2 linked regions of the Diceros bicornis minor genome follow. The protein of the gene in region 1 interacts with the protein of each later gene in a pairwise test. Links are inferred from orthologs where the notes say so. Each region holds a gene or a part of one and is shown on either strand. Other genes may lie near its edges. The genes, in order: TBC1D22B and DEUP1.

Evidence for each region.
Region 2: the proteins of TBC1D22B (region 1) and DEUP1 interact in binary tests that used the Homo sapiens proteins (3 or more experiments, as listed by UniProt). The link is inferred for Diceros bicornis minor from reciprocal best matches to the Homo sapiens genes TBC1D22B and DEUP1.

Annotation. Positions count from the first base shown.
Region 1 is NC_080753.1:27,780,644-27,790,248, reverse strand, and holds the start of TBC1D22B (TBC1 domain family member 22B), read left to right. Parts: upstream 1-5,103; 5' UTR 5,104-5,156; coding exon 5,157-5,212; intron 5,213-9,605. Other genes in the region: TMEM217 (transmembrane protein 217), read right to left, coding at 4,977-5,103. UniProt on the Homo sapiens protein: May act as a GTPase-activating protein for Rab family protein(s).
Region 2 is NC_080746.1:40,270,555-40,280,284, reverse strand, and holds the start of DEUP1 (deuterosome assembly protein 1), read left to right. Parts: upstream 1-6,000; 5' UTR 6,001-6,011; coding exon 6,012-6,040; intron 6,041-9,730. UniProt on the Homo sapiens protein: Key structural component of the deuterosome, a structure that promotes de novo centriole amplification in multiciliated cells.

The sequences.
Region 1 (9,605 bases):
TTGTGTGACATACATTCCATAATAATTTAAAAAATTGTAAAGCCATTCCTGATTGCCTAGTGGTTAAAGTTCAGCACTCTCACCGCTTCAGTGGTCCGAGTTCGTTTCTTGGTCACGGAACCACACCACTCGCCTGTCAGTTGCCATGCTGTGGCGGTGGCTCATATAGAAGAACTAGAAGGACTTACAACTAGGATATACAACCACATGCTGGGGCTTTGGGGAGGGAAAAAAAAAAGGAGGAAGATTGGCAACAGATGTTAGCTCAGGGTGAATCTTTCCCTGAAAAAAAACAAAAAATCTCATTTTACTTGAATGGATAAGGGGGGGAAGTTTAAAAAAAAAAATTGTAGCATTAAAGAAAAATTCCAGAAATAAAAAGATGCATAATTCTATGATCTAACAAAATTTGCTTAATTTTTCCATGTTTTCTTCCAGTCTTTGACAAAACCCATATATTTTTATTGAAATCAGGCAAAGACATTGTGCATTCAGCTTTTTCCCCACTGTATATCATTTCATAAACTTTTTCAATGTGGTATGTAGCAAATTTGCACATTTTAATGGCATAGCATGGTTCAAATTTACAAACCACACACCATAATTTGTGTAACTACCTCCTCATGTTTAAACCTTTATATTCTTTTCATTTTCCCCCTCTTTATTACTGGCTACACCACAAAGAACATCTTTGTACACAGAGCTTTTTTTCCCCTCCTTTTGGCTTATTTCCTTAGAATAAATTCCTAGGAAAGATTCTTTCTAACCTTTCTAAAGATTCTTTCTTAATCTTCCCTCCACGCCCCAAATTCTAACGACTCTCTCTTCCTTTCTTTACTCCAATAACATCTTACTTCTTCAGTATTCCTCTTATCCCTTTGCCTTCCCTAATATAACCGATGTCTCTCATTTGGCTCTTTCTTGTGGTTGCTTAGGGACCAAAAAGTCTCTCTTGCTCTTAGATCCCAGTTTGACTTTACCATTCCTTTGGTGGTCCAACATTCTGCAGTGCACTGTGAGGGCTGTTTCTTGCTCTCATTTCTTAACCTTTCCTCTCATCACAGGGTTCACTCCACTCCTTTGCCAAGGTTAAAGTCCGCCAGTGATCTCTTTGTAACTAAGTCCAAAGACTTTTTTCTCAATTTTTATCTTCCCTATGGAACTCCTGCTCTGAAATGACTTCCCTACTGTACTTTAGGCCTTTTCTCTTTCTTTTTCTGTGTGCTTCTACACATGGTTTATCTCTCCCATAGAACTTTCTTTAAGGATTGGGATATGCCTACCTCTTTTGAGTGCACATTCAACCCATGCATAGCTCATTCCCTTAATTCTACTTTGCCCCTGTCTAAGTTGTTTTACTCTCCTTTGAATGAATATGACGTTGAGGAGGGAAAAGTTAAAAACCTGCAGGCAGACAACATCTACAGTTGTCTCGCAGGCAACAACTCTACTTACAGTTTCAAAACAATCAAACCTTTGAGATAGATTCAGGGATCACAGGTCATACTGTGCTAGTAATAGAGATTTACAAAGTGAGGTCCACAGACCAGCAGCATCAGTGTCACCCGGGAGCTTGTTAGAAATGCAGAATTGTAGCCTCCACCCCAGACCTACTGAATCAGAATCTAGGCTTTTACCATGATCTCCAGGTGATTCAGTAGGTACCCGAAAGTGTGAGAAGCACAAGTCTAGTGGACCAGAGTGCCTGCCACTACAAGCCTCCATCAAGAGTGTTCCAAGGACCCCTTGGGAACCTAAAACCAATGATTTTCACCTCTAGTTGGGCAAAGTTTGGTGTGAGGGTGATCAGGCTGCCACGGCTAACACTCCTTTGATGGACAGGGTTGATTTGATGGATCTCCTGGCTAGGTGGGTGGCCTCCCTCCCTCATCATTCTAGGTAGAGGTTCATTCCTCTGAAGTTGCAAAAGGATTTGAAGAGGACAATCTTTCTCAAGGGAGGAAGGCTGTTCTTCAACCAAGAGCTTAGGCAAGCTTATAGAATCTTTGGTAAAGCGGATACATCCTGCTGGGGATTAGAAAACATGGTTAATATCACCTTTTCCAACAAAAAATGTGCATGAACAACAGAGAACCAAAAGACAAGAATAGTTTATCCTCTTCATTCTCTCATTCAGTAAATATTAAGCACCTACTATGTGCCAAGTGCTATTCTGGGTGCTGGGGTTATAGCAGAGAACAAAACAGACAAGATACCTGCCTTAGTGGAGTTTACATTCTAGGGGATGGGATGACGACAAACAAGTACATAATATGGTAATGAGTGATAGTGCTTTAAAGAAAAATAGAGTGGTGGAGCCCGCTATTTAGACGGGTGGTCAGGGGAGGCCTCCCTAAGATGAAGAGACTTCTGAATGAAATGAGGGAGCAAGCCAACAGATATCTGGAGGAAGAGAATTCCAAGCAGAGAATATGGCTAATACAAAGGTCCCGAGGTAGGCACATGCTTGGAGTGTTCAAGGAACAGCAAAAAGGCCAACCAATGTGACTGGGGCAGATAAGCAAAGAAGAGAGTGGAACCAAATCACGCAGGGTCTTTAAGGAGCTTGGATTGTATGCCAAGTGTGATGGAGCCATTGCAAGGCATTGAGCAGAGGAGTGACATAATCTAACTGGCATTTTATTTAATTAATTAATTTATTTGCTGAGGAAGATTCTCCCTGAGCTAACATCCATTGCCAATCTTCCTCTTTTTTTTTTTTGTTTGAGGAAGATTAACCCTGAGCTAACATCTGTGTCCATCTTCCTCTATTTTGTATGTGCGACGCCTCCAAAGCATGGCTGACGAGTAGGTCCAGGCCCGGGATCGGAACTCACACCGCCTAAGGGGAGCATGCGGAACTTGAACCACTCGGCCACAGGGTCAGCCCCTAACTGACATTTGAAAAGGCTCTCTCTGGCTGCTGTGTGGGGACAGATTCCAAGGGGAGAGGAGTGGAAGCAGGGAGGCCTAACAGGAGGCTGCTGTAGGGACGTGGTTGGTTTAGATTCAGGTGGTCATGCTGGTGGTGAGAAAGGGCCCAACAATCTCAACTTCCCTCACAAAGACTATTTAAAAAGTTATCACCAGATGACTTGAGTGATTTTTTTTTTTAATCTTAGATGGCAAACTGGCTTAGATGGAGCAAAGAGGAGAAATAATAGCACTTCTCTGGGTTGAACAATGTTACCAGCACCCCCGGGGAATCGGTGTTATTTAACATTTCATAAATGATTAAGAAAAAAGAATACTTTGAGACATTTCTAGATACACAAATTATACTCTGCTTTCCACATAGTGAAATGTCAAGTCAATAGGGAGCATCTTCTGGAAAATTTCTAAAGCTATGTGAGTAGTCTGGAAAGTGCCAGGTGACTAGCTACAGGAACAAGTGTAAGACAGCTCACACAGGGGGAGACAATTCAGATGATACCTTTAAGATAATCAACTCTGAACTGCCAGTTGCCACCAAGGAAAGTGATCTAGAAATTGCTGTCGATTATCCTTTCAAGACACCAGCTCTTGTCAAGTCCAAAATGCCAGCAAAAGTTCTGGGTGGTGTTTTGAGAAAACACCAGTTTCAACAAAACCTCAGGAAACCCCTCCTGGAGTTCAGTGTGCAGTGCTGGTCACCACAGCCTAAAAAAAAAACCAGAGCCAAAGAAAGGCAGCTAAAATGACTAACAGGCTAGAGGGGCTTTTGTTTGATGCATTAAATGCCCATAAATGTGACTGAGACAAGATAAGATGAAAGTCTATAAAAGCATGAAAGAGTCAGAGAAAGTAAAAATAGCCCTTTTCATACAATCTCATGATTGTGAAATTAGGGGACAAAAGAAGCTTGAAAATGGGGGTAATGTCTATGTAGAAAGAGGCCATTGGAGGGCATATAAAAGAAGGTCCTTCTTTAGACAGGAGGTCCTTAAGCATTCTCCAGTATGTGGAAGGACATGTGGTAGCAGTAAACAGGAGTGGGGATGGGGGACAACCAGCCCACCTCAACAGTAATTTGTTGGGACAAAAACTACTCTGGACTTGGGTGTGCCCCCTGCCTCCCCCCACCCCACCCCATCACTGTGACATACAACCACAGGAACTCAGAGCAAAAACACCAAGACATGCAAAGGATTTAAATGCTAATATTAAATCCCATTCTGAGTCAAAATTAGATTGAAAATAAATTAAAGAGTGAAAGATTTATAATAGATTAATAAGGGAAATTAAGATGTTTGGGAGTACATCCTTAATCAGTGATTCATGCCATGGAGATATTCTATGTCCTTGCAAGAAATGTTACTCGGTAGTCTAAATTGGATGGATAAAATAAGAACATTCCCTAAACACTATTTGTCAGCATCTAGGTTCTTATAGTCAGAAAGTGACAGTTATTGACTGAAAGAGGGATTAGACCATTTGAACTTCACCCACGGCTTAAGTCCTTTGGCAGTGTTCAATTAGCAGAAGAGATGGAGACTCTGACGAACTAACGGTTACTCACGTGTGGAACAGTTAGCAGCCCTGGGCTATCGGATCCGTATTAGTCTTCCTTCACAGAATTAAAAAAAAGAAAAAAAATCCGGGTCCACGTAACAGAGAAGGGGAGGGTAATAACTAGAGTATAATTGAGTTGGGAGATGTTAAAAACGGGCTGCAACCAACACATAGGACCTTACTTTTAGGTCAAAGATTTATGTATATTAATACATATGCTCTCTCTTTTCAAAAAATATTAGACTCAGAAACCTCGTTCTCCCCAAGATAAATAGTATCCTTTCCTTCTTCCCCTAGGTCCCTTACTTTACCTGCCTCTTCCCCTCCCGGGCAGTGGGAACTTTCAGCCCCGCCTCCCTGCTCGTCCAAGCTCCGCCTTCCTGGTCCACCTGTGTGCCCAGCCCCTGACGTTACCGCTCGGCTTCAGCGGCCTGCAGGATTCCGGCTCCCGATTGGTCCGTCCCACCACGGTCTGCGCAGCCCACCAATGGCAGCTGCGCTGGGTTGGGGGGTGCCCACATCCAAGATGGCGCCTCCAGCAGCTGGGAGCGGGTGACCGGCGGCTTGGAAGCGGCCTGGGTTGGCCCTCCGATTGCGGGGTCCTGGGGGCATCTCGCCAGGTACCACCCCCGGCCCGCCTACAAGGCCTTCCCCGGGCCAGAGCGATGGCCGCCGAGAACAGCAAGCAGTTTTGGAAGAGGAGCGCCAAGCTGCCGGGGAGGTGAGCCCAGGACGCTGAGGGAGAGGGGATTGGACCAAACCGTTCCAGATCCTAAACCATAAATCCCGCGGGCCTGGGGCGCCACCGACCCCGGAAGGCTGGTTTGGGGAATTTGGGCTGGAAGAGATGGGGCTGCCTGGTGGCGGCAGGACAGCTGTCAGGCAGAGGACCAGGCAGCGAGCTTTGGTGATGGCTGGTTGTGGGAGCAGACTGGGGTCTGGGGGCGGAGGGCTCAGGAGGGGCTGCCCTCAGCCGGGAGGTGGCTGAAGTCCTGGGGTTAGAGACAGTGGAGTTGGATGAGTAGCCAGTGTCGGTCCTGGGTTAGGAGGGCCATCCCCAGAGCTGCTTTTCGCTTTAAAAAGAACTCCCTCTTGGTGGTCGGGGGGGCGGTCTCCACCACACACAGGTAGTTGTTTGCACGAGGATGGCCCCTTCTCTTGCTCCCCGAGCTCAGTGCGTACGAATCTTTCCCCTGGACTCCCAGGAGGTTCTGGTGGGCGCTTGGGACCGTCTGCGAGGGGACAGGAAAAGTGAGGAAAATTCCCAAGTTTGACCTAACTTTAAGTTGGTTTTTTCCCATTAGGAATTAATACAGGGTGACCCAAGAATCGAAGTTATTTCTTTAGCATTTTCTAAGGATTTATTCAACCCTAAGTGGCTTCTTCCCCCCTGCGTTGTAGTGTTCTTCTTGTGCAAATGCACTAAATTCTTTCTTTCTTCAGTTATTTAGTTGGAGAGTTGACTTTCTAAGCTTTTTTTTTTCCCTTTTTGGTGTATGTTGAGACGCTTAGCAGTTGTACATCCATCAATCTGCCGTTGATTTATAGTTTCAATTTGTTTTGGGCAGTCTTGAGAAGTATAAAGAAGAGTGTATGTTTCAGTAGTGAATTTAAGATTTCTGCCAGCTACAGTCTACTTGGTGATGAAATTCATGTTTGGTTGGGCCCCACATGCAGCCTTTACTAATTGATTCAGGCCTTATCCTCCTGGGATAATCCTTTGAACTTGTGGCCTTTTTTTCTTTTTTAATAGCAAGAGAGAAATGAGGGTCAGTGGTGGCTACAGAGCAGTCTTATTTTATTCAAGATCCTGTTAGACATATGGAGAATAGAGTGTGAATCAGCTTTTAGCAATATAGTATTAAAATAATGCAAGGCAATACAGAGATAGCTTCACATTGAAGTGCTGTGGAATTACAGTGTTAATATTACTGCTAAAGACTTCTATGTTTTTAGATAAGCATCACTTCCTGCCAACTGATTCCTTTTCCTTCCTGGTCTAGTGAGCTCTCCTCTCTCGCTAACTGCTGTTCTCTGGGGTTTTCCATGGTGAGATCATTAAATTTCAAATCCTAAGGTTATGATCAGAATCAGTGGGAAAACTGTTAAATCAGGAAGCAGTATTTGGGATGTGGGACATGGCATGGTCTTTTGTGCCTACTGATTGCTGGTTGTTATTTACAATTTTTGTTTTCTCTGTTTCTTCTTTTGGACTGTGGGAATGGTCAGCCTTTCTGAAAGCACTACTTTCGTGAGCTAGGAAGAGGAGTCTTTTTGGTTTCTTAAGTTTCTGGCTTCCTTTTTCATTTTGAAGAGGAATATAGAGGGATAATGGAGAGAACATTTGAGTTCAGAAAGATTTGGGTTATTTTTTGGACTCTCTTACCTCTGTGATCAAGGACAAATGATTTACTCAATCTCTCTAGGCCTCAGTTTCCTTATCTGTGAAATGAGGATACAAATACTTTCCACAGGGTTACCGTGAGTCCTAAATTAAACATCCTATTTGTAAAGAACCTAGGACAGTGTTTATTTAGCACATTATAGTTGCTCAATGAATACTAGTTATTAGTATTACTGTTATTATTAGAGCAAGTAAACATTTGAAAGAATGTTTTCTCAGATCCTTACCCCAGTACTATGTATTTATGTTCATTGTTTATTTTAAGGCATTAAAATGTTGCCCCAATTCATAATAGTTTTTAGTACCTTGCTTGTGGAAGAGAAGTAGTGTTCAGCTGTGTGCTCTTAGCAGGGAAAGCCCTGGGAGCCCCTGATTGTGGGAGAATACTAAAGTTCTTTTAGATAGAAAGTGCTTTGATTTAAGGAAAATGTTAGGGCATTTTCTCAAGAATAGAACTTTTGTATTTTTACTCTTTCAGTCTTAGTGAAGTAAAACTTTCTCCTGGGTGGGGAAATGACACAGATGACTGTGTCTAAGCCCATGGCAACCTAGAAGTGAAACTAGTTTACTCTGCAAATTGAAAAGTAAAAATTCAAAGCAGTAGCAGATTACCTTCAAATTCTTTGGTTACGATCAAGCAACTTTAATGACAACAAATAGGAATTATATATAGTACAATAGCCTAAGTTCAAAATGAATTAAACATCCTTTTTAAAAATAACAGCTTTATTGAGATATAATTCACATACCCTAAAAATTCACACTTGTAAAGTGTACAATTCAGTAGTATTTAGTATATTCATACTAACTGTCTAGTATAGATGGTTTTGTGCAACCATCACCATTAATTTCAGCACATTTTCTTCACCCCCAAAAGAAACTTTGTATCCATTACTAGTCACTTCCTGTCTCCCCCTCCCTCCAGTCCCTGGCAACCACTAATCTTTCTGTTTCTATGGATTTACCTATTCTGGACATTTCATATAAATGGAATAATGTGATTTGAGGCCTTTTGTGACTGGCTGTTTTTATTAAGCATAATTTTTTTTAGGCTCATGCATGTTGTAGCATGTATCAGTATTTCATTCCTTTTTGTGGCTAAATAATATTCCATTGTGTGGATATACCTTTGTTTATCCATTCATTTGGCATTTGGGTTGTTTTCACTTTTTGGGTATTATGACTAATGCTGCTGTGAAATTCGTGTGCAGGTCTTTGTGTGGATGTATGTTTTCCATTCTTCTGAGTATATGTAGGAGTGGAACTGCTGGGTCCTATGGTAACTTGATGGAATTAAACATCTTTTTAAGTTCTCTCAGTTATTCCTAAGAGCCCCATGTGCTTATTACATCAAATGGTCCTTGTGCAGATGCCTAGGAAGATAGGAGGCATGTGGTTGGGAGTGCAGGCTCTGGAAACTGGGAACCAGTAGATAAATAAGTTCTGGACATCTGATGCACAGCATAGTGATTATAGTCAACAGCACTGTATTATAAATGTCAGAGTTGCTAAGAGACTAGATCTTAATTGTTCTCACCACAAAAAGGAAATAGTAATTATGTGGCATGATAGAGGTGTTAGCTGACACTATGGTGGTAATCATATTGCAATATATAAATGTATCAAACCAACACATCGTACACTTTAAATGTACACAATATTATATGTCAACTATATCTCAAAAAAAAAAAAAAGGAATGCAGGTTTTGGAACTTGACTGCCTGGGTTCAAATCCCAGCTCTGCCACTTCCTTGCACTGTGACCTTGGGCAAGTTACTTAACCTCTCTGTGCCTCAGTCTCCTTATCTGTAAAATGGGGACAGAGTATGTGCCCCATAAGGCAGTTATGAGGATTAAATGAGATAATGCATAGAAAGTGCCTAGGAGAAACTCAGTAATATTAGCTATTATGAAAATGATAGTTGTGATTACAGTAGCTCCTGTTTTTATTTGTTTCTCCCCCTTGCTCTAGTTTCTGAAACTGGAATTGAAAAACTTTGATCAGCGGTGTGTCTGGAGCCCCCAGTGAGTCCTGAGCTCGGTGGGGGTGGGGGTGGGGGTGGGGTGGGCAGGCATCACCTGTTGTTAATTAGGCAGAGGGTTTTTGGAGGCACAGGGAAGCCTAATGCAGGGCAGCTATGGCTATCAGGTGTTCATTAGTGATGAGGAGATGATTTTGAGCCATGTTCTCAAACTTGAGTGAGTCACCTGGAGGACTTGTGAGTTTCTGATCCAGTAGGTCTGAGGTGGGACCTGAGAGGTTGAGCTTCTAAGAAGTTCCTAAGTGATACTGCTGCTGCTAATCTGGGCTGCGCTTTGAGAACCACTGAGAAAAGAGCCCTGAATTAGACTGAAAGAATCCTGAGTTCTGTTTGGGGAGCGAGGGGGCGGGGCTTTTGCCATGTGGGTCTTAAACAATGTATGCATCTCCTCTTGGCTGTGTAATAAGCATCTCACATTCGACAAGTCCAAACAGAACTCTTGATTTCCACATCTGCCCTCTCCTGGAAAGCTGTTCTTTCCATCTCACTTAATGGTCCCACCATTCACCATGTTCTTCAGACCAAAAATCCCAGTGTTTTTGATTCTTCTCTTAACTGCTGGGCCTTCCTGCCACATCCAATTCATCAGCAAGTCCTGTTGGTTTATCAAAATATATTCCGAATCTGAGCTCTTCTCACCACCTCTCCCCCTGCTACCGTGATCAGAC
Region 2 (9,730 bases), on another chromosome or scaffold:
CTTGTTTCCTGGTCCTGATTATATTTGAGTGTGTTCTGGTCATTGTATTTGAGAAATTATTCTTAGGAATAATTTGAAGCCTAGAATGAATTTTTTTTTTTTTTTTAGTGAGGGAGATTGCCCATGAGCTAACATCCATTGCCAATCTTCCTCTTTTTTGCTGAGGAAGATTGGCCCTGAGCTAACATCTATGCCCATCTTCCTCTATTTTATATATGAAACACTGCCACAGCATGACTTGAACGGTGTGTATGTCCATACCTGGGATCCAAACCCACGAACCCTGGGCTGCCGAAGGGGAGCACGCAAACCCAGCCACTGCACCACTGGGCCAGACCCTGCCTAGAATGATTTTAAGCATCACCACAGAAAACTTTTGCTTGCTTCCTCTGATTGTCTTAATCTACCAGTCCAGCGCTGCCTCATCCATGCTCAAAGCTTGTCCTGAATTACCACCAAGGTGATCCAAAGCCAGGCTGCAAGTCAGTGAGTACTAATTTATTCACACTTCACCATTTTCCTGATGGCAAAGCCCTTTGGGGTTCCAGCTTAAAGGCAGAGAGTAGTCATTGACTCCCTTCCTGGGGTGAGCCCAGGCTTTGTCTTTTGTCCCTTTTGTTTCACAAGACCACAAAAACTGCTGCTCAGTTTTTCTTCCAGAGCATCAAATACTTCCCAGGCAAAAGCAGAACTAAATGGAGGGCCCACTTCTCCGGGTTCTTGCCTTTTGCTAGATTTTGACCCAATAATTTCTCACTATCCTATTAGCTTGAAACCTAAAAGGTTTTAACAGAGATGAGCTCTTGGAAAGAGTTGACCTATGGCTCCAAATTTGTTTTCTCCACTGGGGACCTGTCACTTCAGCATTGCCCGCACCATGCCTGATTCCAGGAAATAAGCTATTCCATCTATGAAACTTTAGCTCAGGACTGTACAAAATCTTTGGTTCCCCTAAATATCCAAGAGAAGATGACATTTTCAAAACCACAGTGCTGAACATTAAGGGTTTATAAGAAGGACAAGTATAGAAAAAAAATCATGATAGCCGTTTTCCAAAGAATTGGGTTTTGTTTTCTGAACCTAAAATGAGACCTGGTGTTTCTAATTCCCAACAAGAAGCCGTACTACCTTGGCACCTGGGCCCCTGGCCAGCCAGGACTCAGAGGTAAGGCCCTCCCAACTAGTCTAAATTCTCTTTGCAGAAGCAGCCTTTACTAGGAGAATTGACAGGACTGTGAGTCATGATGCAGGGAAGGCCTCACTCTGCCCCACTAAGGACCCCAGTTATGCATTTCTCTTCAGATGCCCAACCCCTCTCCCAACCCAGAGAAAGTTAATGAGGATTTTGAGGGAGGAGATTTTCATAGTCCCTCTCAAATCACACCTACATAATTTAGAATCTCTCTCATTGCCTCACCCTTCTCTCACTGCACAACCCTACTTAATGAAGAGCTTTAGTACTCTGACCAGGCACCGGTATTCTAGGACTGCACTGTCCAATATGGTAGCCACCAGTCACATGTGGCCATTGACACTTGAATATGGCTTTATGAACTGATGGTGCTGTATGTATAAACCACACAACAGATTTTGAAGATTTAGTATGAAAAAAATGTAAAATATCTCAATAATTTTCTATATTGTCTACACGTTGAAATGATATTTTGGATATATTCGGTTAAATAAATATATTATTAAAAGTAACTTTACTAGTTTCTTTTTACTTTTTGAATTTGCCTACCAAACTATTTAAAATTACATAAGTGGTTACATTATACTTCTATTGGACAGCACTGCCTCTAGAGTGACCTTGGTTCTAAAGACTGAATCTCCTCTTCCTGAATGGTTATTCTCACAACTAGAAAATGTATTGAAGTATCTCCAGAAAATTCCTTAAACTTGCTTCCATTTATAGAATTAGCATGAAACAATAAGAAAAAAAAAAAAACCTAGATTCTAATCGTTATTTGTGTCATTAACCAGCAATGAAACTGGTCAAATTATTTTAACTCTTTGGGTCTGAGTTTCTTTATGTAAAAAGAAGGAGTCAGACTAGGTCCCCTCTATGGTTTCTTCCAATTCTATGATTATATTATTATTATTATGTTAAAAAAATTTCTAAAATATTTTTCATGTATAAGATAGACTTAGCTTTTCATTGTAATGTATATATAATTTTGAACCTTCTTTTGAAAATGATAGAAAAATAGATATTTCCTTGTTGATAAAACGACAGACATCAAGCTAATTTATATAACCTTGCATATGTTAAAGCTGCATGTTCATTTTCTGTACTACTGTTATAAATTTTGCCATGAAAACTGTTTTGTTAATGAAGGTTTTTCATTTTTTAAGGTTCAGTCTATGGCTAAGATTATTATTTATTCTATATAATTGGTCCCTTAGCTTTTCTTCCATAGATCATCCTCATTCCTCAGCCATATATGTTCCCTATACTTTCTTTTGACCATTTCTGGTTGTATTTTATATCTTATTCTGATCTTCCTGTGTCCTCCAATTCTCTTTCAGGACTAAGCTCTCTTGCCACCTCTCACTAGCACCTGGTCACACTCTTGCCCTTCTTTAGAGTCAGGGACTTTCCACTCTCCTCCTCCCTTTCAAAACAATTTCACCTGAAAAGATCTAATCATAGTCAGGTACATTTCAGGGTAAATTCAAGTCTTTGCAGTTACTTCTTACTTGGGGGGTGAGAGTTGGGAGAGAGGTGGGAGGGGTAGGTCTGTGCATTTTAAGCCTTAAGTCTCATCCAGAAATGAAAGGCTTTATTCCTATTAAATTGGAAGGGGTGTTTCTATTCTATATTTAAATTTCCTTAAAATCCATCACAGTATGTGAACTCGCACATACTTAGGCTTTGCGAGCCCTGCCCACACGTACTCTTTCTCGTGAAAATGTGGCTTTAAATACATCTACAGGTACCTATGTAAGATTCTGACTGCTAAAGAGACCTTCTCAACATTAATTTTTGGACACGTTTGAAGAGCACTTGATTTGGAGCAAGATGATCTGGGTTCATATCTTAGCTGCACTTGAACTAGATGTACCATCTTGGACAAATCCTTTATTCTCTCTAAGCCTTAGGTTCCTAATCTGCTAAAAGGAGCTATAATAACACCTGTTACACTTGTGTCACATGGTATTGCTGAGCATCTAAAGAAATAGTAAACAGCTAAGTACTTACCAATGGTAAAGAGCTTCACAGCATGAGTGATATTGGGCATCCTGAAACTTTATTAAATTTTGTTCCTAGTTTCCTTTCCCAGATCAGAACAAATACATTGACCCATTCAGTTTAGACAAGGATAAAGAATATGACTAAGGTTTTCAGAATAATGAAAACTTTCAAGTTAAGATGAAATGATCACTGTCTTCATTCAATCATAATACTAGAGCTATGAAACACGTATTAGGACTAATAACCTGAGTTACTTTACACAATTCATCTATGAAACTCAATTTGTCAAGAAACAGCAAATGGTTTCTTGTAATTCAGATGGAACCTGGATAGAGGGATTGGGGTCAGTATTAAATTGACAGCCATATTAAAGCAGCAAATTAGTGTTAATGTTATGAAAGGGGATTGCAAATAAAAGATTTTAAGAATTAAAAATTAATCGACTGGATGTATTAGGAAGGAATTCTCTTCCTAAAATAGATGCAAGAATATTATCCAAACACAAAATTCAAGTGCTTAAAAATATTCAAGGTATCAGTAGAAAAAAAAATGTGTATATATATATATATGTGTGTGTGTATGCATATGTATATAAGTATATATTCTCTCTTACCATTTCTTTGAAATCAAGACCGTGAGACAGAGCTTCTCTCATCAATTATTCTTGGAATTTGGTGAAAAAGGAAAGAATTTGGAATCAGTCACTCTGGATTCCGTCCGCGTTCCCCCACTTCGGAGCTATTTCCTTCTCCCTAAAAGGGAGGCAACTCTGTCTGCTCCGCCTAACTCGCAGAGTTGTTCTAAGGCCCCAATGCGCTGGATTGGAAAGACAGGTATAGTTGCTGCTGTTATCGCGACCAGAGTAGCTGTGCACTGAGCAATGCAGTTAAAAAAAAATCCAGCTCTTCCCAGCTGGAAGACACCTTGGTGAATAGAAAGGCAGCTCTCTTTACCCCTAATCTATTTCAAATTTTTCATACCACTTCAAACGTAGGTAAGAGGGAGGAAGGCCAGGGGGAGTTTTAAGGAACTTGGATGCAGAACCCTCCCCTCCTCCCAGCTCTTTCTATTTGCTCTTTCCTTATTTCGTTCTTTCACTCATTCAACAAATGTTTCTCCGACCCTGCTGGGTGCCGGACACTGGGCTAGACAGTGAGAGCCACGAGAGGAAAGGACCCAGAATGGGGGCTCGGGAGCCCTGGGTGTAGTGAGCAGACGCTCGATGCGTAACTGCGGGACAGCGGTGACCCGGGGAGCCCCCGCAAGGCCGCGCCCGCCGCCGCCCTCCGCCGGTGCGCCCGCTGCCGCAGCCGAGCCATTTTCCCCCCCGCCCCGCGTCCCGGCCGCGGCGAGTTCGGGCCGCGTCCCCATGGCAACCGGTGGCGGCGTGGCGGGCCGGGGCTGGCGGGGAGGGAGAGGCCACAACGGCCTTGGCGGCCGCGCGGCGGGCGGGCCCGGGCGGCGGGAGCGCGGCGGCGGGCGGCGGGGCCCCTCGGGGCGGACCGGGCTGGCGGTGACCCCGGCGATCCTGCTCCCGGGGCTCCAGACCGCTCGGGGGAGCGCGGCGCGGCGCAGGTAACCCGCCCCGGCCTGTATGACCCCGCCTCGGCCCCTGACCCTCGCCCTCGCCCTCGCCCCCGCCCCTCGGCCGGGCGGGCTTGCCCGAGAGGAGCGGGGGACCCCAACCCAAGCTGGCTGGGTTTGAACCGTGCGCGGGGTGGGGCGGGGCTCAAGGAGTCGGGTTTGGGGCCCGGGGCGCGCGGCGGGTGGACAGAGCCAGGGCTCAGGACGGTCCTTGCAGAAGCCAGAGCAGAGAGTCTTCCTAAATTAGAAGATCTAGGTTCTAGATCTTGCCTTGGGCAAGTCAGCTAGCTTGTCTGTGCCTCAGTTTCCCTGACGTTACAGTGAAGGATTTTGAGGACCTACAAAATCAATTTATTCATCTGTCCGTTCTGGTCAAGTTCTCGTTCCCCATTCCCACTCCTCGCCCGTCCTCTCCACACACAATCCCAGAGTCTTAAATTCCTTTAATTTGAAGTGACATGAGCCTGGAAATCTTTCTCCTTCTGTTTCTCCCATCTTAAATACTACTTAATTGACTTTTATTCAGTGATTCAGCGGAGTGGAAGTCCTTTTCAATACTTTGTCCATTTATCCTCATAGATTATTTTTTAATTAAAACTTTGTTGCTGGGAAAAACTTTCTTTTTACTTTGGGCAAGTACTAACATCCCTATTTTATCAAAAGGCTGAGGAGGTGCCCACAGACCCGTTGAAGAATTGTAAGATTTCTCTTTTTAGGCAATTCTTAGCCTTATCGTCTTAAATCTCATGGTATATTCATTCTAACAAAACCGGGAAAGAGCCAAAGAAAGAATGTACTCAAACAAAGGCAAACTTTTCCGGGATCCACAGAAAGGCAAGTTGGAGAACATTTAGTTGGATCTCCTGTTGAAGAGGAATTCTATTTCACTCATCTCGTGTACTGAGCACTTTGCAACATACCTGGCACCAAGCTGCTGTTCAGTAGAGTGGATGAATGGTCATTTCAGTCAGTACCACATATTTCAACTTATCGCTAAGCCAATGTCATAAATGCATGGGGGCACTAAAAAAAAGGAAAAAGACCAAATTTCTACATTTTCTAGAACCAAAGGCTACTACACTCAGAAAAACTCATACTACATGGTTTGCCAGTAGCAGAATTTTCTTGTTTTATATGTTAATAAGCATAAGCATTTAAGGACTCTAGATCATTTTCCCCCCTAACAGATTAAAAATCAAGAAATATAAACCAGGTGCAGCAGTTTCTTGACATGGAGAAACAAGCCCAAAATACAATGGGGTAAGTGCTGAGAAATTTGTATTGAATGAGTTGGTACTTAACTATGCCAAAAATTCCCTGATGATGCATGAATTTTGAAATTTAGTGTTAATAGGATGTGCCAATTATTTTCGGTGAGGAGCATGGGGGGAATTCAAGTGACTCTGATTAAGAATCTATAGTGTGAGTCTTTCCAATTTTGACTATGGATCTGCACTCAAAAATAACCATTTTCTAACTTTCAGTGCATTTTTCCAGTGTTTTATGGTGGCGGGTGCCCACGCAGGCCTCCTGTGCTCTTGGGTTTCACAGTGCAGCAGCTCCTAGCCAGGTGGCTCCTGTCTTGCTTCATCGAGTGTCTCAAGCTTCCCTCCACACTTGCCCTTAAGGCTGAACTCAACACTTAAACGTAGCCTCAAAACAGAGTTAGCTCCTCAAAACAACAAAGAACTGGGTATCAAACCAAAAGTTTCACGAAGAGATAAGGAATAGGATTTGCATAACATTTGCCATCGTAAAAAATTAAATTCCTTTTCACAAACATCTGTGCCCACCCCTTTCCTGCCAGGAGCACCACAAAGGTTTCTCATCCTATTTCATTAGCCAGCTAGCCACTGGCTGCCCCAGAGCTGGGAGGGGAGAGGGGTAGGAACAATGGGTACGGGTGGTACTATAGTGCCCAACCTTGACCGTGACTTTCAACTATTCTACTCAGAACATGACTTTGACACCAGGCTAAAGGAAAGCTGCACAAGTCTGGATAATAATAGCTATCACTTTTTAAACTCCTACTGCATACTCCTCCTTAACAACAGCCATGCTAGGTATCATTCTCATTTTACAACTAAGAAAATGAAACATATTAGTTAGAGTATAGTCTAAGCTCTTGTAACAAAGAGACCCCAAAATACAGTGGTTTAAATAAGATTGAAGTTTATTTCTGTTTCGTATACAAGTTCAGAGACAAGCAGACCAGGACTGGTAGGGCAGCTCTGCCATCCTCACTACATGATTTCCATCTCTGGACCCAAAGTGATTGCTTACGCTCCCTCCATCATGACTGTGCTTCTGCCAGAGGAAAGGGGAAAGGGCAAGAGGAAGGAGTAAGACCCTCCTTTTAGGAGTATGACCTGGAAGTGGCAGGCCTCACTTCTGTTCACTTCTCATTGGCCAGAACTTAATCCTAGAGCTATAGGTAGCTGCAAGGAAGGCTGGGAAGTGTGGTCTCTAACTGGGCAGCCATGTGGTCAATTAAAGCTTAGAAATTCTATAATAAAAGAAAGAAGAATGGATACTGGTGGACAACTAGCAGCCTCTGCCACAGAGTTCAGAAAGGTAGAAAGAAAAAGAAATAAAGCAGGCTAAGGATGAGAGGAGTAGAGTGTGAATGGGGTGATCAAACAAGGATTCCTTGAAAAGGTGGCTGGCACTGGATCTGAGATTGTGTCTGGGCAAAGGGAGTTCCAGACAGCAGGAAGAGAAAGTGCACAGGCCTGAGGTGGGCGCTTTCACACAGAATGTTTGTAATGTGGTTGAATCATGATTCTCTGACATCTGGGTTATAATAGGCTTTAATTTTAATTTATCTATGATTTCTCCCAATTATAGGTGTTTGTATTTGTGCCGTCGTAATCAACCTAAATTCCTTCTAATCAAAACAGTCATATTTAAGTGAGTTTGTTCTTTTTATTTGTTTTTAGAATGTGTGTCCAGAACATAAATAATTATAGAATGAATAAATGATCTATTTTATTGGCCTTTTTAAGAGAACCATATCTAGATTTTGCTTTGTTTTTGTTTTCTTATTCATGAATTTCTACTCTTATTAATTTGTCCTTTTATGATTTAATTTACTTATCTTATTCTTTTGATTTTTTAGTTGAAATTTGTGTTTCAGCTATTTCCATGATTTCTGGGTTTCATGATTTCTTTACATAATAAAAGCGTTTAAAGCTAAAGTTCTTCCCGCATACAGCTTTGCTGCTGGCCGTAGGATTAGTATTCCAGTCTCATTTTCTAAATAGTCTATTTTCAACTTTGATTTCCTCTTTGGCTGAAGAGATATTTAGGAGAGGTAACTTCCAGGGATGCTTAATTATCTTTTTATTGTTACTTTCTAATCCTCCTACCACCACGGTCATAGAATATGGCCTATATGATATTTCAGTTTCATTAAGATGAGTCTTGTGATCTGTTGCATGATCAACTTTTATAAATGTCCTTTGGACATTTGAAAACAAATGTATATTCTCTATTGGTTACGTAAAAGTTTAAAAAAATTATGCATATATAGTCACACCTTTTAATTGTTATTATTATGTTTAAATTATGTTTTTCAAATCCACTGTTACCTTACTTTTTGTCTATTTGATCTGTCAAATTTTAGGACAGACCTTTACTATAATTGTGGTTTTGTCTGATTCTTCTTGTATTTCAAGTAGTTTTTTTTACATATTACAGTGTTCTGTTGCTCAATGTATTGAGGTTCATAGATGTTATGTCTTCTTGGTATATTATATGATTTAGCTTTATAAAATATCTCACAAGTATAAGTTAATGTTTTTTTGTTTGAATTCTACCTTGCCTGATATTGATATCGCCAACTCTGCTCTCTTTTTAATTTAATTTAGTCTGTAACATCCTTGTTCATCCCCTTTGTAAAGAGAAAAAACTCAGTCTTTTCCTTTCTATGTAGGGAAAAACCCCATTCTTCCCTACTATGTCTTTCTTCCCTGTGTGTCTCTTTTACCTTCAAGAAGTGAAGAGAGCACTTCACTTCTGACACTTCTGGTCACCAAATGTGTGAAAGTTTTTTCCCCACCAAGCAATTCTCTGTAACACCAGCTGGTTGTCCTACAATTTAACTCAATTCTGGCACTGTCTACCTGGAGACAGCGTCAGATCCCACAGGGTAAGGCCTCAGTCCCACAAGACTGCGCCCTCCACTTCAAGCACCAGTTGCAACCCTAGGTTGTCACCTGTGCTTGTGACCAACTGGCTATAGATCTGAGATTCCAATGACCCCTCCTTGGGTTCGAATAATTTGCTAAAGCGGCTCACAGAACTCAGGGAAACACTGTTTATCAGTTTATTAAAGTATACGATAAAGGATACAGTGGAATATCCAGATGGAAGAGACATATAGGGTGAGCTATGTGGGAAGGGGTGCAGAGCTTCAGTGCCCTGTCCAGGCTTACCACTCTCCCAGCACCTCCGTGTGTTCACCAACCCAGAAGCTCTCCGAACCCCATACTTTTGGGATTTTAGGGAGGCTTCATCACATAGACATGATCGATCATTAACTCCATTTTCAGCCCTTCTCCCTTCACAAGAGAATGGGCAGAGAGACTGAAAATTCCAAGCTTCTAATCATGACTTGGTCTTTCCCGTGGCCAGTCCCCATCCAGGAGCTATCCAGGAGCCCACCTGGAGTCACCTCATTAGAACAAAAGACACTCCTGTCCTCCAGGAAATTACCAGGGTTTCAGGAGCCCTGTGTCAGGAACTGGGGTCCAAGACCCATATTAGAATAAGAAATGCTCCTGGTGTTCTTATCACCCAGGAAAATACATGGGTTTTAGGAGCCCTGTACCAGGAACTGGGGACACAGACTAAAATACGCTTTCTATGATCTCACACCCTTGTTTTCAGTCTTTTTTATGTCATATTGTGTCTCTCGTAAATAGTGTATGGTTAGATTAAAATATATAT